4 linked regions of the Drosophila melanogaster genome follow. The protein of the gene in region 4 purifies or fractionates together with the protein of the main gene of each other region. This does not show direct contact. Each region holds a gene or a part of one and is shown on either strand. Other genes may lie near its edges. The genes, in order: odd, drm, sob and lin.

What was found.
Region 1: the proteins of lin (region 4) and odd purify together in Drosophila melanogaster (affinity purification with western blotting, with the first as the bait; one study listed by BioGRID). This does not show direct contact.
Region 2: the proteins of lin (region 4) and drm purify together in Drosophila melanogaster (affinity purification with western blotting, with the first as the bait; one study listed by BioGRID). This does not show direct contact.
Region 3: the proteins of lin (region 4) and sob purify together in Drosophila melanogaster (affinity purification with western blotting, with the first as the bait; one study listed by BioGRID). This does not show direct contact.

The regions. Positions count from the first base shown.
Region 1 is NT_033779.5:3,602,435-3,609,861, reverse strand, and holds odd (odd skipped), read left to right. Parts: upstream 1-3,105; 5' UTR 3,106-3,503; coding exon 3,504-3,576; intron 3,577-3,762; coding exon 3,763-4,868; 3' UTR 4,869-5,638; downstream 5,639-7,427. UniProt on the Drosophila melanogaster protein: Pair-rule protein that determines both the size and polarity of even-numbered as well as odd-numbered parasegments during embryogenesis.
Region 2 is NT_033779.5:3,536,216-3,543,752, reverse strand, and holds the start of drm (drumstick), read right to left. Parts: upstream 4,021-7,537; 5' UTR 3,776-4,020; intron 1-3,775. UniProt on the Drosophila melanogaster protein: Putative transcription factor. May function redundantly with odd and sob in leg joint formation during the larval stages, acting downstream of Notch activation.
Region 3 is NT_033779.5:3,576,079-3,584,040, reverse strand, and holds sob (sister of odd and bowl), read left to right. Parts: upstream 1-3,271; 5' UTR 3,272-3,861; coding exon 3,862-5,186; intron 5,187-5,332; coding exon 5,333-5,744; 3' UTR 5,745-6,028; downstream 6,029-7,962. Other genes in the region: CG43815 (uncharacterized protein), read right to left, coding at 7,613-7,777. UniProt on the Drosophila melanogaster protein: Pair-rule protein that determines both the size and polarity of even-numbered as well as odd-numbered parasegments during embryogenesis.
Region 4 is NT_033778.4:8,911,382-8,920,447, reverse strand, and holds lin (lines), read right to left. Parts: upstream 5,925-9,066; 5' UTR 5,441-5,924; intron 5,384-5,440; 5' UTR 5,348-5,383; coding exon 2,771-5,347; 3' UTR 2,214-2,770; downstream 1-2,213. Other genes in the region: CG8248 (uncharacterized protein), read left to right, coding at 358-924, 982-1,098; CG34219 (uncharacterized protein), read left to right, coding at 1,634-1,856, 1,916-2,112; Pgi (phosphoglucose isomerase), read left to right, coding at 6,882-7,015, 7,261-7,843, 8,192-8,431, 8,494-9,022. UniProt on the Drosophila melanogaster protein: Has a dual role as a segment polarity protein and as a modulator of the Abd-B protein. Required for Abd-B to activate the transcription of genes (including ems, cut and sal) that are involved in posterior spiracle morphogenesis.

The sequences.
Region 1 (7,427 bases), on a different chromosome or scaffold from region 4:
TGGCCCACTAAAAAGTCATTTTACAATTATTACCGATGACTTCGCGCACTGCGTAGCTGACATTTCTGCTCTAAAAAATCTAATTTTATTCGTGGAAACACGAAAAAATACCATAAAATATGCATGGCAATGGTCCAAAAAAAGAGCAGACCAAAAAAAAAAACAGAAAGAACATTGCTAAAAACCGGGTCACAGTCCGGAGATCCGAGAGTCAAGAACCAAGGGTCTTCTGCGAAGTGTCTTTGGGCGATTTTATGATGCCAAAGAAGCGACTAAGTAAGTTGTCATTTTCGGTTTATGATGATTTTGTGATTTTTTGCTCTCGTTGTTATATTTTTTACGCTCTACATATTTGTACTTCGATTTTCGATTTTTTTTTCGCAGGCCAGGACCTCCGCAAAACAATGGCAGACTACTAATGTCGAGCAGGCCGAGAGTTTTATAGTTTTTTATGGCTTTATGGCCGAGCCAATGACTTCTTTATTGGTGCAGGTCCTTGGCGCGGAGGAAGCGTTTCAGGTCTTTCCAAATTATTTTTTATGGCCATCGTTCCTGCTTTCCGCATCCCTACGATTTGGTTTCCGTTTCCGAGTGTCGGAGGATCTCTCTACTATAAATCTCGCGTTTTCCACATGCAAATAGTGGGACATGTGTTTCCCCCGGGAGAGGGCTAATCCTTTTGGCCATGTGTTGACAGGCGCAACAACAATAGTAACAATATTAGTAACGACAACAAATGGATATAGCAGGAAGTCAGCCAGTGCGATGCCATATATCATGTGCTGGGAAATATTCGGCCTGTGTCTTTCATGTGTCTCCACTCCGCTGGTGTTTATCTATTTATTTATTTATTTGCCTTTGTACACTTATGACATGATGTTAATTACCGCTCGCGACTCCACAGGCCGAAAGGCAGGGAACCGAAAGGGTGGGCGGAGTCCGGGCCGTCACTTTGAAATGGAAAAGTTCGCCGACTGTTTGCCAACCGTCAACAGCGGCGACAATTGCCAAACGCCGAGGCTAAAGCTAACCGACACTGGCAAACCGACGGTACATCCGATCCGATGTTGGAACGGATCGAAAATCAAAAATCGACAATCCGAGAGTTCCAGACACACGCACTCTGGGAAAAAACGTCCTGCAGCAGGACCTTTGCCTATTGATTCAGGCTGTTTGATCATTGGCTCGCCGCCGCTTGGGAAAGTTTGTACTAAATGTTGTGTACATATTGCTTAATTTAATCACCCAAAGTCAATCCTGCCAAGGACCGCTTGTGACGGAGTGTGTCGCAATGGGCTTAGTCTCAGGATCCTCGGATCCTAAGTCCGTATACGGGTAAAACCAGTCAATGGGAATGTTTCTTGTTTTGCCAAGTTAAAGGATTAGTCGCAGATCCATTGCGGAAATGCTTCACCTGGAAAGTCGACAAGTCAAAGTCATGGGAATGTACGGAATTCGGAAGCAGGATAATAGGATATGCATTATCCATGTTTTGTCGGACTTGGGAAATATCTTATAGTTGGCGGAAAATCCAACCGAAGAATAGGATTTAATTCGGAAGCATAAATATGGCATGTGCAATTTAAAACTATTCATTAATGAGGAAAATTCGTATTTTCTTGAATGCTATGAAATATTTGTCTTTTTAAATGAGATATGAAAAATATTAATTATATAGAAGCCCGAATAATAATAATAAAAATTGTAAAGATATTTAACTACAATATCCTATAAATAACAACTACATTAATTTGATGCTTCAATAAATTTTGATTGGAAACATTCAACCCGCAGAACTTATATCTTTTAACCTTTTCCTATGACTTTACCTATTTCTAGTTTCCAAGCAATTTCCTTCAAAATATGTTAAGAAAACTGCCCATAAAGTGCACCTGCTTGTCTCGATTCAATTACAAATTATTAAATAATTATCCAAGTGAGTAGCATGAAGCATTTCGAATGAGGAACTCATTAAAGATGATTTGACAAGCTCGAGTCGCACTTCAGTTGAAAACGGTGAAAGTTCAACTATTACTTAACAACTACTTAAACAACTGAATTACAATAAATACAATACTGAGTAAAATAATTAAAAAAACTCGAAAATAAATGGTGTGTGAAAGGCATACCCAAAACTAACCAGTAATTGTGTACAATCCTTTTAATAAAGTCTTTCAATTACATTACCATTACCTCAAACTCGTCGTTAATTTGCTGTAAAATATGTCCGGCTTATCCTGCCGGAAACCCTTTTAAAAGCCAATCAATTTTCGCTACAAACGGCCGTTTCCACCCACTCGAAACTTTTATCGCCATCGCTTTGAAGCGGCTAATTGAATTCCAGATTAAAGTGTAAAGCAAAATGGGGGGGAATAAAAAAAACTGATTTGTATTGCAAATTAAAATTTAAGTGAAAACGAATCAGGCGCAAACACAAACAGGGACAATAGATTACAATATCCTGCGGCGCAGACAGCACGACATTAAAAAGGCACGAGGAGCAGCGAGAGCTGGCGCGGAATGGGTATGGACATGGCAATGGAGGTGGAAGGGACGCGCCAGGACGACACAGGACCTTCGTGCAGCTGCTGCTCCTGCTGATGGCACATGCGCCTGGGAGGGCTGCGTTTCGGGATTGGGACTGGGATGCGGGCTGGACTCCAGCGATGGCTGCCTGCCATCAGCGGCAGAAGCAGCAGCAGCAGCAGCAGCTACAGCAGCAGCAGCAGCAGCAGCAGCAACGGCAACGGCAGCAGCAGCAACTACGGCAGCAACATCGGCAGCAGCAGCAACACCAACAATATCCCAGGCTTGCGACCGTCAGGCCAACGGTTTCCGCTTGCTTACTGCTGGAACGGAAAAAGCCAAGGCACATATATCCATGCACATCCACAGGCACATTCGGTCGGAGCCACATCCATGGGATAGTAGATACCGAACGCTGAGGGCCAATCCGAGAGCAGCAGGTAGGCGTGGACGTATCTACCATTTCCAAACAACTTCAACCCCGCCACAGGCAGCTGCCGTTGGTCGGGCCGCTCGCCACCCTCGTCGCCCTCCTCCGCACTTCTCGGCCGGTTCAAAAACGGGTCGCCCTGCCAGCAGTTGCAGTCAGTTATTAACGAGCGCTACTCCCAACAGCAACATCGCTCAGCGGCAGCAGCAGCAGCAGCAAAAGCAAAAGCAAAAGCAACACTAACAACAGCAACACGAGTCACTCAAACGTGGAAGCGAGACAGGAATATCAGCACTCCACTCGCCTCGTTTCACTTCGATTCTCAAGCGTTTGAGTCGGAGAGCGGCGAACGGCCAACGAATTCAGTTTGTGTCGAGACGTTGTCGGTGGCACGTCGCATCCAAAAGAACGCTCAGTCAGCTGGGAAATATACTGAGAAAAGATACATTCGTAGATACAAGTGCTAAGCCAAAGTGAACCGTGCAGTTCGCGCAACTAAACAATTTTAAGCCAAATAAAACTACACAAGGCCAACAAAGACAGTATAATGTCTTCCACATCGGCCTCACCCATCAGCAACATAACCGTGGATGACGAGCTCAACTTAAGCAGAGAACAAGGTGGGTTCAAGTTCAAAACTGGCTCAGAACAACTTGGCAAATGCCGACGGCAAAGCGCATTACTCTCTAGCACTTTTTGACTAGTTTCAAAAAATGTTCCATTAATATTTGAAAGTAGTCTCACATAGCATTGCATTTATATGAATTGAAAACTAACCGTGGGCATTTCTATTCCTTCCTTTTTAGACTTTGCTGAAGAGGATTTCATAGTGATCAAGGAGGAGCGCGAGACAAGTCTCTCCCCCATGCTGACGCCCCCGCACACGCCCACCGAGGAGCCGCTGAGGAGAGTGCATCCGGCGATAAGCGAGGAGGCGGTGGCCACCCAGCTGCACATGCGACACATGGCCCACTACCAGCAGCAGCAACAACAGCAGCAACAGCAGCAGCAGCACCGCCTGTGGCTGCAGATGCAGCAGCAGCAGCAACAACATCAGGCTCCACAGCAGTATCCAGTTTATCCCACAGCCAGCGCCGATCCCGTGGCCGTGCACCAGCAGTTGATGAACCACTGGATCCGCAACGCAGCCATCTACCAGCAGCAACAGCAGCAGCAGCAACATCCGCACCATCATCACCACCACGGCCATCCGCACCACCCTCACCCACATCCGCATCATGTGCGTCCCTATCCCGCTGGCCTCCATAGTCTGCATGCCGCGGTCATGGGTCGCCACTTCGGAGCCATGCCCACCCTGAAACTGGGTGGTGCCGGTGGAGCGAGTGGTGTACCCAGCGGCGCAACTGGCAGCAGTCGGCCAAAGAAGCAGTTCATCTGCAAGTACTGCAACCGGCAGTTCACCAAGTCGTACAATCTGCTCATCCATGAGAGAACCCACACGGACGAGAGGCCTTACTCCTGCGACATCTGCGGCAAAGCCTTCCGGCGACAGGATCATCTGCGGGACCACCGGTACATCCACTCCAAGGACAAGCCCTTCAAGTGCAGCGATTGCGGCAAGGGTTTCTGCCAGTCGCGCACCCTGGCCGTGCACAAGGTCACCCATCTGGAGGAGGGTCCGCACAAGTGTCCCATCTGCCAGCGGAGCTTCAACCAGCGGGCCAACCTCAAGAGTCACCTCCAGAGCCACAGCGAGCAGAGCACCAAGGAGGTGGTGGTGACCACCTCACCAGCCACTTCACATTCGGTGCCAAACCAGGCATTGAGTTCGCCTCAACCTGAGAATTTGGCACAGCATCTGCCTGTCCTGGATCTATCCTCGTCATCCTCGAGCTCAGAGAAGCCCAAGCGGATGCTGGGCTTCACCATCGATGAGATCATGAGCAGATAGATTGAAGGACCAGCGAAACCCGGTATCCGGTTTCTTTTGAGACATTCTAAAAGAGATTCAGAGAGCTGGACGTCCGCCAGGCATGGGAAATGCCTGGAATGGAAAACCAAGCGAGTCCAGCCCGCATTCTGGCCAAAGGTGCAAGTGGAAAATCCTCGCCAGCAACTCGTAATCGCAACCCAGTGAGCAGAAGAGTCATCCTCCGTGCAATCGGTTCTATGTAGCAGATCCCAATTGCGTTAAACAAATGCCAAAGTCAAATAGCAGAGGAAAACTGATGAAAAATCCAATGAAAAGTATTGCTAGCACAAGCCTCCTACAAATCGATTCCAAAACACACACACACACACACAACTGTAAACTATAAACTTTAATAAATAGCACATAATTTATATTGTAATCTAACTATTATTGTATGTACCTTATAGTCGTAGTAGCCCATTCAGTTCGTAGTGCTTATGGAGTAAACCAAATGTTATGTTACAATAGCTCAATCAAACAAACCTCAAACCCGCTTTGGTTATTGAAAGACTGTTTTAATTATTATATTTAAATAGTACTTGAATAAATCAATCGATCGATTGTGTAATGTTAAACCCCGACGAGTGTCATGATTACTTACTGTTTAGACTTAACAACTTAATTGTCGCTATAGCAATTGTGACTATGCACAACGATCTCATTGTCGTCTATATGTATGTCTGAAACATTCGTATTGATATGAAGTTATCACAAAAATACGTAAATATAAACGCAAAGTAATTTTCAACTGAAATTTAATAAGACTTTTTATGAATACGGTGGATTTTGTGTTTCCAGGTATTTGGCAATGGCAATTTCGCCTTGATTTATCATTACTTCTACTGGCAACTTGATAATCTTTATGGTGTACTAAGTTAAAGTTATCTGAAAAGATTTAAGCAGCAATTTTTTGATTACCTTCTACCACCTACTGACTGATTCAAGTTCCAAGCGGACTGAATGATTTTGATCTACTTTTAATCACTTTGAAATCTTTCTTATCCGCTGACTAAATCCCACGCCATTCCGATTTGGGAATTTTCTCATGCTGCGAATATAACTCAGTAGACTGAACTCGTAGGACCATATAAGTTGAACCATCAAACAGCAGCTGTCAAAATTTATTAACCATCCGAATATAACTCAGTTTTTATGCAGATCTCGATTTGCGCATTTTTAAGCAGCTCTATTATTTTTCAGGTTGCCGATTAAGTAAGCAGAAGTCTCGCCACCAAAAATATTCAAACTGTCGCAGAAGTTAATTTATGAAATCGAATCGAATTGAATTTGATGTCAGTTTTGCTATGATTTTGTCATGAATCGGTTTCGATTTCGGTAACACTATGGTTATTGTTTAACTTTGAGGTGTGGTCCAAATATTTATGGCCTGTGTTTCAGTTTTGGGTTTAGTTCAGTTTTCATTGTGGCTTCTCTTGAAAATCGGGAACGTGCCAAATGCCTTGCAAAAGGTATGTTTGATTTCCTTTAATGGTGGTTTTCTTTTCTAGTTTCTTCCATTGGCAATTGCATTTCTCTTAGCACGCTTCTTACTCAGAACTGTCAATTTCAGATTGTGATCTTTGTCTCAAAATCGAGCATAGGATTGTCTTTAATTGAGGCCTGAGGTCGTTCTGGTTACCCCCGGGGGGAACCCGCATGAGGGGTCTGCATCTGCCTCATTTGCTGCTCGATTTCCATTTCCATTAGCATTTCCATTTTCCATTTTCTCCACCTTGATGACATACTCTCGGGCCTTATGGCCATGTACAATTGATTTGGGCCCTCTCATTGTGTTGGCTTTGATTTGCTTTGTTTTCGTGCCAGAAAAGTGCCAACGTATTCGCCAATTGATGTCTACATAGATGCCTTTTTTTTTGCCCAGGATTACTTTTGACAAGTATCCTGGCCGCGCCCCCTTGGCCATGCATATCCTGCTGACTTTGGCCAAACCTTAACCTTAGTCTTATCTGGCCGAGTTGGTCGGGTGGTCAACCGTAGGACTTGTGTTCCGTGTTTTGCAACACTTCGCCGCAGGCAGTCTAAGGACCTCGAGGATCTTGGTGTCCTGGCATTTCGACACACCTTGTCCATAATTGCACTGCGTACAACCAAAATATTTTGTGAAAGTCACAGCGGGAGGGCGAGTTATCCCGACCAGATTGATATGTGTCCGCATGGGGTTGTGAGTCCCTTTTTTTTTGGGCCATTTTGAGCCACAATTAAACGCATCGGTTCCGCAACTAGGGTGGCATGCAGCTCCGTGTCCTGTGGATGTCCTGCCATTGTAAATTGTAGTGGCAGGACGTGCTGGAAAGTCGCCTGCCAAAAGTGAGCCATTTACTGCCACAGGGGCAGTCTCCTCCTATTTTCTGCTCCTACCGAGCATGCAATTTTAATGAGCTGCCCGGGGGAAAAGGAAGGATCGGCATAGGGGCACATCCCATTGTCCAGGACACGTTCGCACTTGGCCCTGTTCGCCTTTGGGCCGGGACCACCCTGAAAAGCCAGAATGATGATGTTGTAAGCCGGTTGGTCGAC
Region 2 (7,537 bases), on a different chromosome or scaffold from region 4:
TTGTTTCGCCCGGCGTATTCGGGAATTTTTCTGCGCGAAACAAAAGCCAGCGCTGACTGGTAGCGACAAGCGTCTCGGCAAGACCCGATTTCGATATTTATTTATATGTTATGGTGCTTTCAGCTCGCAGCTGGAACACTTTTGGGACTGCGACTGCGACCGGGACTGGCAATGGGAATCGAGATTCGGATTCGGAATGGGATTGGGATTGGGCATCGGAATGGGAATGGGAATGGATGTGGAAACGGGTTCGCTTTGGTGATCGGCGGTCGGGGAGCTAACGTTGACAACAAAAGGCAAACGTCACAGCGGGTGCTGCACCGGCCGCAGACGGTACGTAGTTATTGTCATTATAACATTAATGCCCACTAAACATATTCAAATTATAACACTGAGCCGCGCTCAAGTCCTGCACTCAGAAAAAAAACGTCTTCTCGTACTAAAAAGTAAAAAGTAACCGCGTGGAACAATGCTGGAAGGTCATATGATCTATATTTTTAAGATGTTATTTTAAAGATAATAATGAAAGCAAGTAAATAATAATGAAAGCAACTTTCAAACACTTTGATACCCCGCTTTCGCCCAGTGGGTGAGGTGCACGGGTTCGGGCCTGGGTCGCTGATCGCATTGGTCATGTCTGGTGGGAGACTGGGACTCGGCTAAGATCGGCTCAAAGGCCTGGCCAAAAGAGACTCCTCCAATGTTAATTTGTGTACACAATGTGGCGTCACATTGGCATTTTAACGCCGTTAATCATGCGACACAGGGCGCCTGCATAAGGCCATCCATTCGATATGGATTCTTTGGGTCCGGGTCTCTCCGCCTCGATCGGTCTCGCATTTGGCCATGCTTTGCTTTGGATTTGGACTCGGACTCGCATTTGGACGTGGACTTGTATTAAGTTTGTCTCTGGGAGCGTGGGCCTAAGTGGAGCACCATTAGCCACGGGTTGCTCTCCGGGGTTAAGCACTCTATTTGGCCATTTGCTGGATGCGTCGAATGACGATGGAATTGTCTTCAGTCTGGGGATGGGGCAAAATGGGCGGGGGAGACCTTCGAGAACAGTGAAATTCGAGCTGACAATTGAGTGAGCCCATCAATTTGGAAGGTTAAGTTAGCTGGCCTGGGGCATTCCAATAATAAAGGTGTCCAATGGCACATGGTCTATCCATATTGGTAAAGTCAATCTCATTATATTAACTCAGCAAAACTGAAAGGTAAAGCATCTTCCTACAGTTATAATCCTAATCTTTTGATCAAGTTGGTATATCCTTTTAATCCGTTGAAAATCCAAGCAAAACAATCATCCGAATCCATCTAAAAACCTGTGCAAAGTCATGGCAAATCCAAACGGGCTTAACTTGGCACCTTCTCCGATCCGGGACTTTAAACGGTCTCCAACTGTTAGTATTTTGCAACTGGACATTACAATCCGCTTATGCGAAAAACGAACACCCACAGAGACGGAGGGAAAACTGCCCAAATATTGTATAATAAACTGTTGTCCAACTCAAAGATAATCCCATTAATCCGCACTGAAAATTATTAGTGTTGTGCACACACACATAGTTTCGGACAGGAAGGTTGAGATGTGAAGATCTGAAAATCTGGAGATCTCTGGGAGATCTTCAGCACAGCATGATCCTGACTCTGGACTTTGGGTTTCCGTGTGAAGGGCATGCGAAAGGCGTTAATGCTGCGTGAAATTAGATTTGCAGCGATGGGAAAGAGAAATAAAATGGCAAACTGCAAACAGAGAGTGAGATTATATATGGCCAGATCTCTGGTAAGAGAAGTAAGTGCGTCGGGGGCTTCCACGAAACTCGAGCCGCCTCGAGAGTTACAGTTTAACACCCCGAGATAAATGTGTAGCGGTATGGGCGATAACAGGCTCAAAACTGGGTCCAAAAAAAGGGCTCAAAGCAGTGACACACACGTCGCAGGACGTGGGATATGGTCGAAAGCGATTACCACACTTCTTTCACCTCGCACCGTGGTCATCCCTTTATTTTTTGTAGGAGGCGGACAGTGAGTTGGCAAGGTGCCATTAAAAATTACAACCGAAAAGTGAAAAGAAGAAACCGAAGCGAGAAAAAATGACAATAAAAGGACATAAGGCTCTGAAGACAAAGGCACCGAAGTCCATTTGATACGAATCTAATTGTGCTAATGGCGCAGAATTCCCGGGAAAAACACCCACACACACGAGATCCTGGCCTGACAACAGAACCAATAAGTCGGTGGAAACAATTAGGATGTGTGGCACTGCCACTTCAGTGCGAACAAAGGAATACCTTCGTAACCCCAAACACAAACACACCACAAGATACAAAGATACAATGCGGCAAGGTATGAGCGATCTTCCCTAGATCCATCGCAAATCGGATGGGAATTTCGTGGCCGAAGCAAGTCGATTTCGGACGCTTCTCACCTTCAGCCCGTAAGATATGACAGTTGCTCAAAAGTCGGCGCAGATTAGCTGCCAGCTGAGCCCATTTACCGTAATCGCTTAGCTAATTAGACTCTAATTGATGGAGCGCAGCGGGAGGTCCAGACGAGGTCAAAGATCAGACAGACGGGAAAGAAATGGTCGCGGGAAAGCAGTAAGAATTTCAGAGGTCACGAAACTCTTACAACAACTTTACTTCAGTATAACTATGTTAAACGAATTTCCCTATATTGTAAATGTTAGTCCTACTTCCAGAAAGTTCCCCTAGAATATGGGTTCTGATTTCTGCGATTTCGCACCAGATTCATTGGAATTTTCGCACAAGTGCCAAATCTCAGGTATTTCAAAGTACCTGACTTTGACGCAACTTTTTGAACATCTGTTGTTAGCTTGAGCCGTACTCATTGGTATTTCATAATCCAATGAAAAAAGCACAACTCCATGACTCATAGGCAAATAACTTGTACCAAAACGGCTGATGATGATATGCCAAACATTCTTGGCGATGATTTGCCGTGTTTTGTGCGTCCGCGATCAACCTTCGACAAACTAGGCTTTTTGTTCTTAATGCTGACTCATTAAACTTCTCAGCTTCTATTCTTTCAATCTGAAAAAATGCCGACGGCTTTAAGAGTTTTCAATTCCTAGACAATTTCAATGGAAAACGACTGAAACCTTTAAAAATAGAACAGGTTGAAAGTTTAGGATACAATAAAAACTTATATTTGTTCTGAAGAGAGCTCAAATGTTTTTTTAGACCAACTTTAATAGAAAATAATATTAAATAGTTTTCTTTTCGAAAATTAATGAGCATTTTTTTATGAGATACAAATTATTTCTTCTTCATTCATTTCGGAAATTAATAACACATTTGTACTATACAATGAGAGATCAATAAACTCGGTTGTATTTCAAGTAGATCACCCATTTTGGGGAATTCGTGTCAAGAAGTGCGGGTAAAAACTTTTTACAGTCCAATAGGGAAATATTCGGACTTGGCGTCCGCCATTTTGGCAAATGGCGACACTTTCTCACGCACACAGAGGCCGAAAAGCTCCGTTGGCCACACGCATGCCATATTAGACGCATCGCCCCTCTCCCTCTGGCACACTAAAGAGCCGAAGTGAGAGGCCCGGGCAGAAAGAGAGGCCGATACACGCACCCGTGTTACGTGTGGGGTTTACTTCTTCTTTTCTTTGCTCAGTTTTCAGTTGTCCAATGAAAGCGGCGTAAAACTGGTAGCGAAACAAGTGTGGAAGGGGGAAGAACGACGAACAGAAGAACACGAAGAACGCCATTGAAGAGAGGAGCTGAAGAAAGACTTACCCAATGGGATGCACTGGAGTTACGCGTTCTTCGGACTCGAGTAGAGGCTAACCGATTTCTATAGCTGAGTTTTGTGCGATTTTCGTATGTCCGCTGAATGGATAGATCGATTTGTATCTCTTTTGAAGGTACTCGCGAAGGAAATGTTACTGATGTTGTTACTGATACTGTTACTGATGAGAGGGAACTATATACGCACGCTCGAGCGGCACAAAGTTGAATGAATGAATGCTACTAATAACTGAAAGAAATAGTAGTCGCCTCTGCCGCCGTCCTCTGTCGGCGTCGCTGCCGGCGTCGCTGCTGGCAAGTTGAGGAAGCGAGATCATCGCTCTGTCCCTGTCTGTTACTCAATTCGGTGGCACTGTGTGAGTGTGTGTAAGTGTGTGTGAGTCATCCGAAGAGAAACGAAGCAAAACGAAGACCGGTAGCCGAAGCTACTGCTCATGCGCAGCGCTCGCTAGCCATCCCTTTCGCTCGCCCTAAGTTCTTATGCGTAAGTACAGAAGCTGGCAAACGGAAGCCACAAAATGGCGTCTCTTCTAACGGAAGCCAAGCGTAAAAGTCACAAAATGGCGTCACTTACCTATTGCGAAAGCACGAAATTCCGTTTGCTATTTGGCAAGACACAAATTGTATGCAATTTCTGTTTGGTAGCACTGTGTTGGGTAATATTATTAATAAAATATATTTCACTTCCGAACGCTTCTGTGCGCGAGAGTCAACTGCAAAGTTACGATCGAAAACTTCAGCTTGATGGGTTGAACTTTTTCTGTTTTCCTTTTTTTGGTTACCCTCTTTTTTACAGCCCTCTCTCGGTTGGCTGTCCCTTTCCCACGCACTGTTTGGGTCGCGGAGAACGAGTTTTGAGTGTTTCAGCTGATTGGTCGGAGGAAAATGAGCTAAAGAGCGAACTGAGAAAACTGGAGAGTGAGCGAGCGAGAGAAGGCTACCTGAGTTGAGTGGTTTCGAAGGCGTTACCTGAGTTGACTGTTAATTAAGCTTAAGTAAGCCAACATTTCAATTAAGTTTAGGCGACTAATGAGTGAAAGGTGTGCTGGATAATGCGGGCTGTAATAAGCTTGCGATTTCTTTGGATTTCCTCGGACTTCTTCTCTGTCTTTCTAGCTGCTGTTTGGCTAAAAAGGTAACTTTCTTTCACTTATACCTGTGTATATTTTTATAGATGTGGGCGTGGCTTTGGGCGGCGCTCTGTCTGTCCCACTCTTTCGCGCCGTCTCGCTCGCTCACCCCCTTTTTAACTGCTTCTTAACCCGTTTTGCGAGCGAGCGAGAGGCCAAATATAAAAACCAGTGGCAGAGCAGAGCAACCGTATTACGCAGTGCTCAATTTTTAGTGTATTTATCTTCTTTTTTTGTGGAGCTCCATTTTGTTTTCAGGGCCTGAGAAACTTTTTTCTCGCATTTCCTTTGGCTTTGCCGCCTCCGCCTTTGTTGTCGCTCTTCTGCTTGTGTGGCCTCTTTAGACCCGAAAAAATAATACTACAAAAACACCATATTGATGGTCTGTTTATCTTTTGTGCCTCACCATATCTGTTTATCTTTTACGATTTCTCAATGAAATCTGAAAAACTGTGTCGTTCATTCAGCAAGAAACTTCATTAACTTAACACCCAGTGTTTTTAATTAGGTGCGCCAGAAAAGGATTGTTTTTAATTAAGTTTTCGCCTGTCCATAAAGCTTAACAAATTATTTTCGACTGCTTTTGGGCATTTTTAAGTGCAATCCGTTGGCAACTCCACTTTGATGGCTTCATCTCTGTCCGCCTCGCTTTTGTTTCACTCCATCTGTGTCCATCTGTCTTATTGTTTTTCGGATCAAATTTGCATATTTTAAATGGCCAATCAGCAAACTCGAAAAGGAGACGTATCGACAATTGTGAGGAGCTTCCTTTTGAAGGAGAAACTAATTATGAACCCTCCAAAGAAGAGTCTGAAAAATGACTTGGCTTACTTGGCAATTTTGAAGACTTTGTTTTCAGAGGCGAGGAATGTGATGCAATATTTCACTCGATGTTGAAAGGTTGTTTGGTTCACAAAGATTATTGTATTTATTATCATAAACAAACAATAATTTGACCTTCACATCCATATGTAGTCATTTTTTTTTGGATTTTCCGCATCCTTTACTCATCTATCATCTTCAAATAATCTGTCACTTAAAAAGCCCCTAAATTTTTGACAAATACCTCGCAACTTTCTCAATCTAACAACAAATAAAGTTAGGGCCAGCATAAATTCCAACGACCCAAAACTTGTGCGCCAGACAGTGCACACAAAAGTATTAAATTTCATTAATTGCCAATATTAAAAAGGCAAACAAAATCGAACAGTAAAAAAAATGAAGATTGGTGAAAAATTAAAAATTCATACGGCAGCGATGCGGTCACATAAATTTCGGAGGAGGCAACAAAGACTACAGCTAAGAAAAGGCAGATGCAAAAAATTATAATAAATATATACGCGAAGATACACGGATGAATCTGTGGAAGCAGGCAAATGTCGAAGACGTGGGCGTTGAATGGGATCCGTCGGGGTTTTTTCGGATTCAGTTTTTATACTTTTTGGTTAATAATAATGAAACTGGACCGCAGCCACCGCAGCAAGGCGTTGTCAACAGTTGGCGACGATGATGCCGATGAAGCTGATGATGCTGATGATGTCGCTGGTGCTGATGATTCCGGTGATGACGAGGCCCCGACTTGCCTCCATCTTAAGCTCTTCATTTCTTCATTTGGCACACGGTAGTTGGCTGGGCTGTCATTTAGCTCCAAGACTCTGGTTCTCTTCCAAGGTGTGCGAGTGCTAAGAAACTGGGTGTATCATCTCACTGAGGGAAAGGCAATATAGCTTACAAGATTTTATGTTAATATGAACAATAACTAAGTGTAGTTTGACAAGAACTTTTTTCTTTTAAGGGCAACTAGGCTTTCCTCGTGGCGAAAGGAAATGAAGTGCACTTTGTAACGATTTTCTTCGAGTGTATCCGCTCCCCACCAAAGTCGTGACTTGATTTATTTTTTTGGCCCAGACTGGTGTGTTTTCACATAAATCTGAATTATGGTCCGCTGGCTCGTAAAGTCGCTGGGTGATGTGTCTATTTTAACAGTTAGTCGGGGGGCGGAAACCGAACGTCGAACGATCTATCAATGAATCCGCAGCTGAATGAAGTGGTGGCCCCAAACAAAACTTGATCGGATCCTCATTTGATATGCAGCTTCGATCTTCAGTTTGTATGCTAATTCTCGTGTCGTTCGGTTTTCGGTTTCAGATCGCGTCCATTGTTCATTTTTGGCTGTTTGCCGAGCGGTGTTTTATTTAATTTTAATTTTTATTTCGTAAATTTTAATTTTGTTGTCACTTCTGTGGGAGCAGGCGCGGTTTTTCCACTCGCCCATAGTCGCAGATACGCATTGTTTTTTTTTTTTTTTTTATTATAATTGGGTGCGGTTCGCAGTGGTTCGGTAGTATTTCTGCAGAACTCCATGAGTCGATCCTATTGTTCAGCTATAAAAAACAGTCGCACAATCGCACGAGGAGCTCTCTTTTTTGTGAGGCAGCCGCTATAGAAATTAATAAAATTTATGGTTTATTGGGAATTCTTGTTCGTTTTTTCGGTCATTAATTCGCCATAAAGAAGTAGGCAAAGTGTGTGGCAAAAGCTTTTAAAGTGGGCAGACAGGCGGGAATCCATTGTTCAAATGGATGTTGTTCGTTAGGTTTTTAAATCAATTTCGAGCTTG
Region 3 (7,962 bases), on a different chromosome or scaffold from region 4:
ACCCAAAACGTACGCCCCCGATAATTACTGGGTTCCAATAAAAAAAAAGTCACTCCAAAACAATAGGCCAGATGATCGGTGTTAAGCCGGTGATCTTGGCGATCTTATCGCCGCCCTAGATGTGTGTTATGACTTTTACTTTTCTTTGTCACGATCGTGGTGTGTCGCTTCAAATCAAAGCAGTAGATTAATAATTCTGGCTCCCCACCCAGCCCTTCATATTTAGCCGTCGTTTGCGATCGGAAAGATGACAGAGTCGGTGGAAAAATCAAAATCAAATTAAAAGACAGCAATCAATAATTTGACACGACTTGGGGCGATCGACAAAGGCCCGAAGACCACGAGGATCTTTACACGTGCAAAAATAAAATGGGGTAACTGGAATTTGAAATAGTTTTGAATATGATTAGGGAGAAAGCTGGAAAGCAGAAGAAGCAGAGATATGTGAAAATGGATGCCTACCAGCTGAGGAAGGATTTTAGATATGTATTAGATACATAGGCTCTCTTTAATTTTTGCAAGTGCATCCGGGATCGTTTGTCGGTGTCCCGTTGTTTCAGCTGGGTCTTGAAGTGAACCTGGCTGTGATCTTGCAGCTCCGTGTAGATTTGTACGACTTTTGCGACATTTTGTATGGGGCGATGGATCGATCCGTACCGATCTGCTCCTCCCTCCCCCATTTTTGCACTGTTCCGGATCCCGTCCCGCTCCCATGTCGCCTGCTATGTACAACATCAAGTTTTATCGCTGATCGTGATCATGTAATTCCAGCCCACGCATGCGCACTCGGCGCTCGCTTCGAAGGAATCAAGTTTAGCGCATTCTTATTCGACTGAGACGCAGATGGAGCTGAAGATGGAGTTGGAGTTGGAGATGGAGACTTCCACTTCGGCTCCGATGCGACTTCGACTGGAACTGGGACCTTGTGACAGATGGTTGTGAGGCTTCAAGGCATTCCCTCGGATCGCCCCACCCAGCTCGGCCCAGGAAAGGAGCCGAAAGGAAGGGCAAGGATAGGGCAGCCAGGAGCAGGAGGGACTGGTTTCTCCTTTACCCTTGCACTTAAAAAAACATCTATGTATATGGGAAATTGTTCTTGAAACCTATCTGTTCATAACTGGGGAGTTCTCTTCTAAAAGGATTCAGTTAACTAATCTTTCGACACCATTGGGTTAATTATTTCTTAAGCTATTGATACAATTTTTTATTGAGTTTGAAAATCATTAAATACTTTTTTCACAGTGCAGCTAGCTTAAGCCTGTGCGATCTTTATGTAAACTGGTACTTGAAATTTGAAATCATGTACCATTTGCCTTGAGACTGACAACGATACTTGGGATGGGTCTGGACACTGGGGATTGGGGACCTGCCAGTCGAAGTGGAAGTGGAGCCGGGCAATCGATGATCGTGTCCCTGAAGAGGAGAACCTCCGATTGAGGCGGCACAGGAAACGAGCATTTAAAAGCGCGACTATCGAAATATAACGACATTAAGCCGAGGCTTTCATTTAAAGGAAGCTTGTGTCAATACCACTGAGCTTGCCTTGGAATGCGCAATCCCGATTGCAGATCTTTTGATGGCGCCGCCATTCAGGATGATCCAGGGATCCAGCAATCTCCAGCAAGAGATCATCCTCGCGACGATCATCATCATCCGTAAGCCGGCCACTAAGCGACATAATTGCTACCGTGGGACTGAGGATCTCTGGTCTCCAGACTCCAGACTCCCGGATCATTAAATGCCGCGATCCTAATGCGCTCCAATCAAACACACACGAAACGAGCGTATGACATGTTTGTGCATTATTAATCACGATAATATCTGTATAAATGGTAGAAAACTGAGAGTCCGGTCCAAATTGCAATTTAATGCAAAAATAAATTGCACTCGGTGCTGGACTGGCTCTTTCCAGCAGTTTTTTCCTGCTTATTTCGTGGCCAACCAACCGGCAGCCGGAGAGCTGGCAGCTCCCATGATTATTGGTCATTTACTTGGGCCGTTTAGCGCATTAAGTCCGAGTTCCCCCACTGGACACTCGCGTCTGGGGGCTTTGCATAAAGAATAAGGAAATAATTGACAGTTGAAAAGTCTCAGCTATGATTGCGGCTGTGATTCGAATTGTGATTGGGTTTGCTGTGCCAGCGTATTTTTGATTCTTCTGGCAGCATTCTTCTCTCGCTCTTTCGTCTGCGATTCTGCGGCGATGAGATGGCGTGCGATGAGAATCATTTCAATCAACTGGCTGCGCTTGGGGCTGAAGAAATCAACGCGTTGACTAATGGCCACAATTTGCAAGTGCTAGCAGGTTGATGCACTCGGAAAAATCTCCACTATTGCAAATGGATTTTAAGTGTAATAATTTCCAGGAAACCATCTCAAGGTGTTTCAATCTGACCGCCAATCCAAAGCCTTTTAAGATCGTTAATATTTAATAGATTAGACCATTGTTCCATATTCCTTACTAGGAACTCCACGGTTTCCTTAGATGTCTAGAAAACATCTGGCTTGTAATTCCTTATCAGGCGATCGCAATCCTTTTATGGCCGCCGATCACATTTGATTTTAGTGAATTAAGGGATGTTCGCTTAAAGTTTTCTTCCCTCTATACAATGTTTTCTTGATATAGTAATAAATTATTCGTATGAATAACTTGTAAAAATAGCTATAATATGAGATTTCTTCTTATTGGCAAGTTCATAATGTAAGCTGCATCTGTTACTTGTGCCTAAATCTATATTTAAAACCTTTAATTATCCGTCAAAATTCTTCAGTTTCCAAGGTTAAAAGTACTTAGCAAAGCTTGCGAAATTTCCTAGAAAGAATCATAAACAACTACTTGCAAAAATTATATAAATAAACGAATATTATCAGACAAGAGGGAGCTGGCACGATGGGCGAGAAAGAGATGGCACGACCAGGAGGGAAAGAGAGGGTGGGCAAAACACCCACTCAAAATCAAAATCAAAATCAGGCATATTAACCACAGAAACCGGTTCTCTCTTTCTCACCTTGCACGCGCTCTCGCTCTACCTCTGATTTAAATGCGCGTGTGTGGGTGAGAGCGGGAGTAAAGGTGCTCAGAATACACAGACAAAACGAGTTTGCACCTGGCCAACCTGAATTTCTCCCGCTCTCCGCTCGCTCTTTTCGTGGGTGATCTTGTGGGCCACGCTCTCATCCGCTCTCGCAGGGAGCGATCGCCAATGGCGAGAGAGATGTGGCGATCAACAAGTGAGCGCAGGTCCGCGATATGTCCGCAGAGCAATGGACTTTTAGTTATTCCGTGATCTTTTACCAATATTGTGTGCAGCGACGGCTGATCGACGTCAAGAGAAGAAGAAGAACTGGCAGAATCAGAGAAAATAAACAATATTATATATACGTACATATATATATACATAGCTCAACACGTGTATGTGTCTGTGTTGGCTAAGACCGGAAGTTGCATTAAACGGAAGTTAACTAATAGTAACTGCACATAATTTTAAAGATCGATTGTACCCAAATTGTTCGCGTGTGCTAGCCAGAAGAACTACCATATTATTTCAGTCGAAAAAATCGAAAAAGCGTGCCTGCCAATTTGACTTAACTTGGCTGAGACTGCACTTTGTTGTTTTCGTTTTTGGCCAGACGTCAAATTCGATTTTTATGACTTTTGAAAGCGTGACTAAGACGTGATTTATGATGGCGTGTGGTTTTTAATATTCATGTGGACGCGCTCCGAACCTCTCAACCTGCGTAGGTGCGCCAAACAATAAAAAATACAAAAAATCACCACGGCAACCAGCAACACAGCAACATCGCTGGCCCGAGGCTTTATCCCGATATCCAGCTGAGTGTGTGCGTGGATTCGACTTTTTTATGGAGGCAGTTAAGCATTTGAGTGCCGCTGCTGCTGCTGCAGCTGCAGCTGCAACTTGCAGCGATTCGCCGGCCAAGGCAGCAGCCTCACCGGCAGCAAGCAGCGATATTGCCGAGGCGCTTGGAGAACTCAAGGCAAGCGCAACAGCAGCAGCATCATCAGCTAGCAAGGCAGCAACATCGAAGCACCACAGCAACAACAACCACAAGCCAAGTGCCGCAGCAACAGCCACAGCAGCGCACAAGAAAAGCGAGAGTTGCAACAGCAACGGCAACAAGTGCACCGCTGCAACATCGCCGATCGGCAGTAAGACCAGCAACGCAGCCATGGCAGCTGCAACAGCAACGGCGGCCGCAGCAACCAACGATCTTGCAGCGGCTGCTGCGGTCGTTCTTTCGCTGCAAGGAACCATGGTCAGCAGTTTGCAGCAGGCCGCCCTACTGCCGGCCAATTCGGCGGCAGCAGCAGCTCTTAATCTCCAGGCCCTGGAATCCTATTTGGCGCTGCAGCGACTAACCGGGAAATCGGATGTATTTCGCTTTTCCAACAGCAACACCGGCAGCAGCAACAGCAACAACGCCACCACCTGCAACAGCAGCAGCAGTGAAGCGGACAACAATGCCTTACCCTCGCTCATCGATATAGCCAATATAGAGCTCAAGTCGAGCTGCTCCTCCAGCTCCTCGGGGGAACCCCCTTTGACGGCAGCGACAGCATCAGCTGCCGCCACATCCTCGCCCAGCAGCAACAACAGCAACTCCACCAGCACACCAACAACATCCAAGTGCGTGCCTCTGCCCTCCATTGGCACCGTTAGTGCTGCAGTGGCGGCTGCTGCGGCTGCCGCAGCAGCTGCTGCGAGCCAACAGGCGGCGCTGGACTGCGCAACAGCCGCAGAACTGGCAGCAGAGTGCGACTTACCGTTGCTCGATGGCGAGGATGCTCTCTCCTTCGAGGCGGGAGATTTGGACAGCAGCTATGGAAGCTTCATGTTTAATCCCTCAGCCTTCAGCCAGGCGGAAACGGACTCGGCTCTGCACTCGCTGCAGGCCACCATGTACCAGGACAAGATGAGTGTCATTTCGGGAGCGGCTGGCGGCGTAGGTGCAGGTGCGGTAGGAGGGCTGGAGGAGGCGGGCAGCTCGGCGGCGGCAGCGGCAGCCCAGCGGTCCAAGAAGCAGTTCATATGCAAATTCTGCAACCGACAGTTCACCAAGTCCTACAATCTGCTCATCCACGAAAGAACGCACACGGACGAGAGGCCTTACTCCTGCGACATCTGCGGCAAGGCCTTCAGGAGGCAGGATCATCTGAGGGATCATAGGTAGGTCAAAAATAGCGGATAAGCTACTTCATGGTATAATAAGAAATGATCCTTCTCTTGAGAATCACTCTGTCACAAAAGACTAGCATTTGGTTTCCATAAAAATCTAACCCACCATTCTCCTCATTCATTTTGGTAACCCGCAGATATATCCACTCCAAGGAGAAGCCCTTCAAGTGCGCGGAGTGCGGCAAGGGATTCTGTCAGTCCCGCACTCTGGCTGTCCACAAGATCCTGCACATGGAGGAGTCGCCGCACAAGTGCCCCGTGTGCAATCGCTCCTTCAACCAGCGTTCCAATCTGAAGACCCACCTGCTCACCCACACCGACATCAAGCCGTACAACTGCGCCTCCTGCGGGAAAGTCTTCCGGCGGAACTGCGACTTGCGACGTCACAGCCTGACGCATAACTTGTCCGCCGGAGTGGGCGGTGTGGTGGGTGGCAACCTAAGTGATCCATTTGGCTCCGGCTCCAGCTCCAGCTCGGAGTTGGGCTTGCCCACGGGCTCCGCCAGTACTGCAGCATCCTCCAGAGATTTGGTGGCCGTCAGCGATTGATCTTCCTCAGCTGATTCCTCACTCTTTGATACCCACTCAATAAAATAAAATCTCAATTGCAGCTCTCATGAATACGAATCCCTCCATTTCGTAATCGTAATCTTAGTACGACTAAACAGCATTTAGTTTAGTGTAAGTTTAGCCTTAGCTACTTTGGTTTAAGCCTTGGATATTTGTGACGTAAGCATAGCAGGAAAGTTTGACTTTGCGTAAATTAACGTTAGATATTAAGTTAAATTGTGGACTCTTAATGTACGATCGAATAAAAGACAATAGCTTAAAGGAAATTGTGCACATGGCTTTTTATTGTTGACTTGGGCTTATGGTTATAGAAAGGTTTTCTTGAGACTAAAAAGAACGTTAGTTGTATTATAATTTGAATATTCTAGAATTTTACCACGGGTATGGAGTTTGAGTTGTTTGAGTTTCCAAAGGCCTGTTGTTCATTTCAAAATTCAAGAATTTTCCAAAACGTTTTTCTCACCCTTTCTACCTTTCTACCGCTTTGATTCCACTCTTGTACTTACACTATTTACGCACTTGTAGCGAACTAAAATCAAATATTTGTACCGATGTTTATCGCTCGAGTGCCAACAAGGGCAATTAATGTAGCATTAAGGTGCACACCTTCAAACACCTCTTTCAACAAGCCTTTGACAACAAACAAAACAAGATCGACAATAGTGGGGCTAAAACAAAGAAATGCCCATATTTTCCCACCACTTCCAGGCTGTTCCACATTTCCAGTCAAATAATGTCGTACAAGCCGGTGGACAAGTGGAGCAGGCGCTATCTCATCGGGTCGAAAGGACCACCCACTAGAGTGTGATATATAGATATCGGGGCACCCCATTTCCCACACAAGAACATCCAGATAATTCCGGGCGTGTCCGCTGAAAGAGCTCGAAAGAGATTTTATAGCGAAAAGTGGGCTGTCCATTCCAGAACGAGGGTGGAGCTCCAGCTCCAGACTGCCACAAAGTTTACAATTTTTATTATCGACTACAAAAAGATGCGGCCATAACGACACAAACACATACAGTGCAGTTCAAAAGCGAATGCCGACCGCGTTTCCTTCCACGGCCATCTCACCCCTTTAGCTTACTTTTATTTTCTTTCCTTAACTCTGACTCTGACTTCCCGAAAAGATCGGCGCGTTTGTCAATCGTTAAACGGATCAATGTAAAGCCGCCTGCAATGTTGTCTTTATGGGGCCTCCACTGTTGCTGTTGCATTTCCTGTGCTTCAGCTGCACCAAACCCAAACCAAACCAATTACAACGATCAAACAACAATTATGGATGAGTCCGAGCTCTGCGTCCCAGTTTGGGTCCCATTCTTGACCAGATCCCGCGGCTCTGTGCCGGCTTGTTTGCCGTGGCCAGCCGGCTGCTCAGCCCCACCTCCACTCAGCCTCCTCCTCGGGTGGTTAAACATTTTAAACACGACCTGCTTGCTGCTCTCTGCAAATATTTGCGCGGATATTGTTCTATTCAATGGAACAAGCGTGCAAGCGACACTGAGAAAAATAATGACAAAATATTTGAAGCAATTATATTTTAAAAACAAGCATCCAAAATATCGTACTGGTATTATTCATATATTGCGGCAGTTTTCAATGAAACTATCGTCTGTTTCTGGTTGTGTCTGCACTACCTTTTTGTACGAGCTTAGTGTCAACTATTTCTCTGAGTGCACTGGCATCTCCCATTAGTCCAGGCTCTAAACAGCCTCCAAAGACTGAGAAACGCCGAGAATGGAGCGTCTCTGCGAATTGCCAGCAATTTCACACTTTATGCGCGACGGCTTCATTTCCACAGAGTGCCTACCCTCACCACGACCCCCTTGGGAGTACCCTAGAGCCCCAGGCTATGTCGTAGTATCCAGCTCATCCTCCGGCCAAGAGTGGAGCATTCTTTCCGAGCGGCGCGTGCGGGAAGAGCGGATGTTTGAACGCTTTCGAAGTTTACGAACGCTCCAACGTCGCTCCAACCGGCTGTTGGACCGTATTGATGGGAAAATTATGAAATTCATTGTTTGTGTTTGACTAATAATTATGACAGCAAACGCATTGTCGTCATAAACGCGAGGGGACAACCCCGAAACGAGGTGGTGGAGTGATGCGGAAGGGGCGGGAGCGCACTAAATTCGCTTTGAGGTTTCCGCACCGCCCCAGACAAAAAAAAAAAAAGAGAAATGAAAGAGGAAACAACTCTGAC
Region 4 (9,066 bases):
TTAAGAGATTTTGCAATTCAAACTTAACGTACGTCGCCACCTGAATGTCATAGGTCAGGTCAGGCATACACACAAACATGTATGTTCCTCGGGTGGCGAAGAGTATCGCATCGGAAACAGTTTAGACTGTTGTAAAAGTAGAGCAATAGGTTCCAATAAATATATAGACACATAGCACACTTGTCAGCGCATCTCCCTCGGTCGATTGACCTTTCAATTGCACTGGACACCCTCGTTCAACCCAACATGTGAAGCTGTGTGGGCAATCCCTATCGATTTTCCACCACGAGCGGCAGCCAGGACTCGCAGTCAACAGATACACACGGTAATTGCTTGGTAAACAGTAAGCACTCGGCTATGAAATCTCTGGCCGGCGATAAATTTGCTCTGTCCGAAGAGATTGGGCCACCGCCTTGTTCTCCCAAACACCGAAAAGCAAGTGCCGTGAGTAGGGACACGGATACAAATAACCATCATGTGGTGCCGCTGGGGATCCTCGTGGTGCTCTGCACTGTGTATCTCATGGTAGCCGGGATGCAGCGCAACTACAGGCACTATTTTAAGCCGGGCGTGGCTGCCTTCGACCTGCACCATGCCCAGCCGGAAGCCATGGCCGACGCCGAATTGGATGTCGCCGCTCCAGATGCATCGTGCCAGAGGTTGGACGTTTTCGGAAAGGAATCCAATCGGAATCAGGCAGTTTCAAGAAGATCCCAAGGCAGGCCCACGAAGAGAACCAAAAACGGCACTGGAAATGGGGTCAGCAAGCAACCTCGTCGTTTGATAAAGTCCCCGGAGGGGCACAAGAAGAAGGAAGTTGGCAAGAAGAGTAACACAGCGGAGCCCATTATTTACCTGTTCGCCCTTGTGTTTGTCTATCTGCTTCTGAAGGCCGCCTCGGACATCAACCAGCACTACAAGTCGGTAAGGATAACCCGCATTCCATTCCCTATTGCCACGTGAATAATCCTTCTTCGGCAGCAGAACAAAGGGGACAAGCGACTGCGCCGGTGCTCGCTGCAATCTTATGCCCAGATCCACAAGCAGGATCGCCGGTCATCAAAAGGTATTTCACCAAAATCTTTGCCAAAGTTTTAGCTCGCTGGGGGCCAGGTGCCTAGCCTATTACACCGTGTTAACGAGGGATCAAGTGAATTGTTATCCTATAAATCTAAATGTATCTACCACTATGTACTGAACTAGCCAATCTTCTCTACTCTAAAGCACCAGTTTTCTGACTTTTTCGGAAAATGTATTGTTGTGTATTGTGTATCTCTCGTCTGTCCTCAATCTCTATACATCTATACATCTGTACATCGCACTTTTCGGGCTCGATTATGCGTTTGATATCTGTGTTTTTGAACGACCTCCACTGTTTACCTCCTCTTCACCTATCTGTGAAACTGTACTGAATCCGAATATAAGGTTGTACATACTCGAATGTATATTACTGTCCTAAGTGTACGTAATCCTAAAATAAATCAATTACTATGTGCTTTCCTGTGATCAATTTACATACGTAGCCGTGTTAGCTTGCGTTTCATTTCCTCCGTTCGATTGGGCTTTTACGCAATCCTCTGCGATCCTCTCTCACCCCGAATCCCAAACTGACCGCTCTACATTTCCCCAATGCATGCCAAAAGTGGATGAGTCCCCCATCTTCCGGCGCAAGCATATAATCAGCGAGGAGCGTTCCGTATCTGTGGATCGCTTCAAGTACACGCTAAACGATGAGGGAGGCTTCACCAGGTCCGTTCCGCTGGTTCAGGAGTATCACTACAGGGTGGTATCTCCTTTGGCCAGCCGACCCAGTCAGCAGCATCCGCATAAGCCGGGATCCGGAGAAGCCCGTTTCGGTAAAGAGTCCCCACAACAAAGTGACACGTCCCATAAGACCAACTACTTTCTTCTCTAGAGCCTCGTCTTAACCGTCGCTCCTCGGTTCCGATCAGCATTAACTATCAAACGGTGCACGTATCGAGTCCACATCCTCCGGAAATGGCCAGGCGCGGCTCGGTGATAAGCCTCACTGGGCCACCACCAGAAGTCAGTGGTATGCCAAGTGGAGCCGCTGATCCAAAGCGGCGCGTCCGCATGATAAATCGCCATTGAAGTCCAGAAGTCCAGATGAGATCAGGACACAGCCCAACGAAATTGCAAAGAGACTACAGTATTTTAACACACCATTCGGAAACAGAAACCGCACACGTTGTAGTCCTTCTTAATGCGTTTCTTTTAATCAGTTAATTATGTTATATTATTCAAGTGTTTTAAAAAAACGTACAAAGAATATTCTTCTCGAAGACACCGAATTTACGCCCACTTCGGCGGGCAGCCGTTTGCCGCAGCATTTTGCCATCCTATTGTACATTATTCTACTTAGGGCAAGATTAAAAAAATCTTAGGCTAGCGTAGTGTTTAGTTTGGAATTCAGTACCTATGATATAACCATTATCTACGAACTAACTACGAACTTGTGATGCTCATTACAATTACAATGACAATTACATACAGCTGGGTATGTATCTGGGTTGAAAGACCTGCTGGGCGAAGCGGATGAAGAGGGTGCAAGATCTTAACTACGGTTGACGCGCTACTGGATCGGGGTGCGGAGTTATGGTCGGAGTGGTTGGTCCCTACGGCTAATACACGTATTCTACAAGGCCTCCATCTTCATCGAATTTTGCGCTAGTTTCTCCTATTCCATTAAATATTAAAATAAATTACGTATTTTAATTGCATGTGGTTGAAGTTCGTCCCTGCGCCGCATTCAGCTCAGCTCGTTGCCCTCGTACAGGCTCTCGCAGCTCTCGAGCAGGCGCAGCACGGGGGAAATGTCGTAGGGGTAGAGCTGGCGCGACACGAGGCGGGATATCTGCAGGCGCAGCCGGATAAGAACGCCCATCGCCTCGTCTAGCATGGCGCTGCCCATGCCGAAGGTGTGACAGCTGTGCACGAACATCGTCCAGTTCATGCGGATGTACTTGAGCAGGCGCAGCAGGTAGAGCAGGAAGCAGGTCTCGTTGCTCACCAGCAGGTCCAGCAGCAGGTCCGAGCTGTTCGATGTCATCTTGAGGAACTCCAGGAATGTGTACACCGGATTCAGCATGGCCACCAGCTCGGGGAAGGCGTTGTTGCGGAACGATATCCCAGACGTGACGTCCAGCGTGCAGACCATGGCCTCGATCAAGTGGTCGTCCTGGTCGTCGAACAGGTGGATCAGGATCTTGCTGAAGTGGCACTCCGGATGGAATTCCAGCGTCTGCTTTATGAACGTCTCCAGCTTGCTGAGTACATCGCGGATCGAGCGCTCAATGAGCATCATGTCCTGGAAGGCATCGTAGTCGGTGGAATCGATGGATGAGTCGGAGGAATCGCTGCGTATCTCCTTCACCGTCACCGCTATCGACTTCAGCACCAACAGCACCATCTTCTGCAACAGTGTCTTATCCATTTCGATAAGGTCCAGTGGCGCACCGTCCTCTTCGCTGTCCCCTGATTGCGCGGCATGTGCCAGGGTAATTGTTCCATTGGCGTACACCATCGGCTTGCCATTGTAGCCGATCAGACTGACCATGTTGTCCGGCTGTCGCCGCGGCAACGACTCCAGTATGCGGAAGCCGCGCACATGGCAGACTATCTGGTGAGCCAGCTTGCACGTCTCCTCGGGCAGCATGTCCTGCAGCGCCAGCGTGGAACCATAGCACAATGCCTCGTTGAAGAGGCACAGCATCTGCTTGTACACGGTGCAGGAGAGGCTGTGGCTGAGCAGCAGCTCAAACTTGTCCAGCTGGGCGTAGTAGGGTCGCGTCTCGTCGATGGACAGATTGGCCTTCACCGAGATGATGTTTTCCCATAGCTGCAAGAAGTTGAGCACACAGTGCTCGGCCGCATCCTGATGCGTCGGCGCCATCAACTCCGACATGTTCTTCACCAGCGTGGGCCACTTGTGCTCCAGCTTTTGAATGGTGATGCACTTCAGGTGCGTCGTATCGAAGCTTTCCGAGTCGGTTAGTGTGACCACATGGCAACCGCTGGGCATGGTCGTGGACTGGGGAGCGGGGTGCGGCTCGTAGGCGACGTTCATATCCTCGCCAAAGTGCCGCCGATGTCGGTCGCGGTTGTCAGGTGCTTCCTGCCCCGTCTCTCGTTCACCTTCCGTATCCTCGCGAAATTGCAGTGCAAAATAATTGGTGGCTAGCGGCTGCTCCTGCACGGGAAAATGCATGTAGCTCACGGACGCCTCTGTCGAAAGGGGCACTACTGACGAGGCTGCACTTGTACTATTCGCCGACGCCATCCAGTCGTCGTCCAGCGGATGGATCTCCATATCCTTCCACTCCACTATGCGCTTGATGATGTCCAGGCTGAAGTGGATCTTCTGCACGGCCGCCTGGTCAAGCTGCTCGAAGTTAAATAGCTGGTCGACGATCTTCTGCAGCCACTCGTCATTCAGCTCTTGCTTGGCAATCACCAGGAATGCGGCTAGCACACGTCCCGCCAGAAATTGCACGTAAGAGTTCTCGTAGCCGGCCAGCACGATAATCTCGTCGATAAGCTTGTGGTCATTGCGAATGAGTGCGTCGCAAACGTCCATTATCCGCGTGCAGATGAAGCCCTTTGCGTTCTGCTTCAGGTAGATATCGAACAGTAGCTGCAGATTCGACAGAAACTGCAGCAGCTTGTTGGTGGGCCACTCCCGCAGGTAGGCTATCCGTTTCTGGCCGTTGGTGTCCTGTGAGTAATGCGACTGGAAGGGCTTGCGCAGCGTTCGCTCCGAGACGCCGCACAGGCACTGGCGGGTCAGGGACTGCTCGAACTCCAGCATATCGTCGATGGACGTGGCTGTTGTTGCTTGCAAGCAATTGCTCCTGCTGCTAGCATGACTGCCATTGCCGTTGGTCGTGTCGAGGGTTAGCAGGTTGGGCAATTTGGCCGCCCTGTCCACTTCGTCATGGGCGGATTCAGGCTGGCTGTGCAGGTCTGTGTCCCCGTTTTGTGGCAAGATGTTGTGCAGCAGCTGGGCGTACGACGCCGCCCGGGAACTACAGGGCGTGGTGGTGGGGGAGTTGTTGGCGGTGCTTGGCGTTGACAGCGAGTGCGAAGAGGACGAGGAGAGCGAGGAGCACAGGTGGCTGTTGCTGTTGGCGTCCAGGTCCAGTATATCCGGCGGATGGGGCGGCTGGGGTGGCAGCGCCTTGGAGCCCACCTTGATTTGCTGCTCGATCTTCTGGCGCTTGGTCTGCGGCTGTTCGTTTGATGCGGAGGTCGTGGAGGTTGCTACCGTGGAGCATGGGCACACATCGCCCGTTCCGGCTCCAGATCCTGCTGCGGATGAGGTGTCCATCCTCCGCGCTGACGTACCCGACGTCCTGCAAATGGTCTGCAAGCGAAATGCCCGGTGAGCAGCGAATCTAAGCGGCGGCTCGCAGCCACATACCTACAAACCCGATTCCGACAAACAGCTTCCGTGCTACGCGCACACAAGGTTACGTGTGCAGACGCTGCTGCCTGGCTTCGTGGGGCGATTCTCTCGGCTTCCTGAGACACACTATGATTTCTTGGGGGCGACGAGGGCGCTCTAGCTGCCGCCAGGTGCTCTGACTGCTCCTCCAAACATTTTAAACGGCCACAATTCGATTTTCACACACTTGTTGCACTCTTCGGGCCAGCGACATGTCAATGTTTATGTGAGTTTCACTGCACTCGCGTTTCGCTTCGTGCCCGGGCCAGTCGATTGGGTCGTGTGCTGTTTCTCACTTTTTAAGCGCCTCCGATTGTTTCTCTGGCACTGCTTTTATTTTGGTTTTATTACACTTTATTATGTGGGAAAAAACAAAAATTAAGTGCGCGTCGCCATCTTTTAGCGAGTTTCAGCTACCTGGTAACCCTACTTGCGCAGCGTTGCCAAACGGATCTTGGTATTTGGCGTTAGCTATATACATAGCCAGGCTCGCAACCATAGCTCTGTCGTCACAACTCAATTCACATATATTTTACTTTCCGAAATGTATTATTTTTTAAAAATAATTATTGCACGCTTATAACTTTAGCAACAATGTTTGCTAAAGTAATTCTAATAACAATGACTCCGGTAGTTTTAATTTTCTAATGCGTGATAATAATTAAGTGCTTGAGAATTATAAGATTGCAGAGAACTTAACAAAAAATATTTTGTGAGAAGCTAATTACAGATAACAAATATTTTTCAATTTATATGTGCTAATTTAACGGGTAACTTTAAAGTAATTTTAAGAATGTTTTTATTTTTACATTTTTGACATTAAATAATAGAAATGCTATTCGATAGTCATTGACACCTGACAGCCCTGAACACCGAGCGTGCTGCCACATCGAGATAAAATTATGCCGTTAGCGGCGGTTAAGTCGTTTTGAAAATTTCAGTTTATGTCCTTTTGCCTACCGGTGCAGACGATCTAGGAGTAGGAAGTTCTCAGTTCATCTCCACGCGGCCACACACAGTAAATTCGCACACACTGCAAACCGATCGGCACATTAAAACAAGAGCGCGGCCGACGTGGCAACACTCGCTTGTTTTTCATTTGACATTGAAAGGTGCTCGCGAATTCCAGAAAGGACGTTGGAAAATCGGCAGCCGCTCAGTCAGTACCTATCAAAAGCAAACACGGCGAAGTTGTGGTGCGGTGCTCTGGAGATTTGCCGGAGCCAGATAATAGGAACTACCCGACGCCTAAGCAGCCGGATCCGCTATTATAAGTGAAGTGTCGCGAGCGGTCGAAGCAGTTCGCCTGTGCTCTCTTCTCCGTGTGCTACTAATTTGCATCGAGTGCTAAATAGTCCTCCCTTGCCCTTCTACTCCGCATCCGCCTGCTGTTCCTGCTTGGGATAACTGAAGTAAGATGGCCGGCCCACTTCCTCCGCTCAACCAGGAGGCAGCGTTCCAGAAGCTGCAGGAGTACTACGACTCCAAGGGCAAGGACCTGAACATCAAGGACCTGTTCGTGAAGGATTCCAAGAGATTCTCAAAATACAGGTGGGTTTTTGTGTCGATTTCGCCTCAGAGGGTGGAAGTTACGTATCTAGTTCCCGCATACATACACTCATTCGTGTATCCCCCATCGGCAATCGTTTATTCATCGAGTTGCGCTTTGCCCACTTTCACTTTCACCATCGGCTGTCGAGTGTCGCCGCCACTCGATTTGTCCTTGCGTAAGGTCACAGCAACGACCTCCGAATCGTACTTGCTCTGAGGTCAAATGTTTTTCGTTTGTTTATCAGCCTGCGCCTGCACACCCAGAACGATGGCGAGATACTGCTGGACTACTCGAAGAACCGTATCAATGACGAGGTCTGGGATCTGCTCCTCACCCTGGCCAAGGTGCGCCGCGTTAACGCCGCGCGGGACGCCATGTTCTCCGGCCAGCACATTAACATCACGGAGAACCGCGCCGTCCTCCACACGGCCCTGCGCAACCGCGGCACGGATCCCGTCCTGGTGGACGACAAGGACGTGATGCCCGATGTGCGCGCCGAACTGGCCCACATGAAGGAGTTCACCAACATGGTCATCTCCGGCGTGTGGCGCGGCTGCACCGGCAAACAGATCACCGACGTGGTCAACATCGGCATCGGTGGCTCCGATCTGGGCCCGCTGATGGTCACCGAAGCGCTGAAGCCCTACGGCAAGGGCCTTCACTCCCACTTTGTGTCGAACATCGATGGCACTCATCTGGCCGAGGTCCTCAAGAAGGTCAACTACGAGACCACCCTCTTCATTGTCGCCTCAAAAACTTTCACCACCCAGGAGACCATTACGAACGCCACCTCCGCCAAGACCTGGCTCCTGGAGCATTCCAAGGAGGTAAGTACAGCGAAAGGTCGAACATTAAATGACCTTCATTGATAGCGCTTTAAGCAAAGATAACCAAACTAATACAATGAACCATCAATGGACCCTAGTGATTTTTCTTATCATTCTATAAGAACCATTTTGACGTGTTCAAGCTATCAAATCAATTTAATGTGCTTATCAAATGCAGCCTATGGACTTAATCAAAGGCTAAATCGGATTTCAAATTCGAATTAAATGTTTCCAATATGAAATTCCACTTGCCTTAAATGTAAAATAGATAACGCAGCCAAAGCAAATAGTTACATCACAACATTTTAGTCTGGCCTATATTTGCAAACTATTTTTGTTTTGTTTTAGCCTGAGTCCGTGGCCAAGCATTTTGTGGCCCTGTCGACCAACAAGGAAAAGGTCACCGAATTCGGCATTGACAGCACCAACATGTTCGGTTTTTGGGATTGGGTGGGCGGTCGCTACTCCCTGTGGTCGGCCATTGGACTGTCAATCTGTCTGTCCATTGGCTTTGAGAACTTTGAGCAACTGCTGGATGGAGCTCACTTCATGGACAACCATTTCAAGACGACACCATTCGAGAAGAATGTAAGACTCAACTGAGAGTTAAGTAAAATGATTATAGTTAACCATTTTATTGGCTTTCCTAGGCTCCTGTTATCCTGGCGTTGCTAGGCGTTTGGTACTCCAACTTCTTCAAGGCGGAAACACATGCCCTCCTTCCCTACGATCAGTACTTGCACCGGTTCGCCGCCTACTTCCAGCAGGGCGATATGGAGAGCAACGGCAAGTTCGTCAGCAAGTCGGGCAAACCCGTCAAGTACAGCACTGGTCCGATCGTGTGGGGCGAGCCTGGCACCAATGGCCAGCACGCCTTCTACCAGCTCATCCACCAGGGCACCCGCCTGATCCCCTGCGATTTCATCGCTCCCGCCCAGACACACAATCCCATTGCCGGCGGCAAGCACCACAAGATTCTGCTATCGAATTTCCTTGCCCAGACGGAGGCTTTAATGGCCGGAAAGACGGTCGACGAGGCCAGGACCGAGCTGTCCAAGGCTGGCCTGTGCGGCAACGAGCTGGATAACTTGTTGCCCCACAAGGTGTTCGTCGGCAACCGGCCCACAAACTCGATTGTGGTGAAGAAGGTTTCACCTTTCACCCTAGGCGCGTTGATTGGTACGTCTCACTGTTTCAGCTCACGAGCACCTATTAATGTCAAT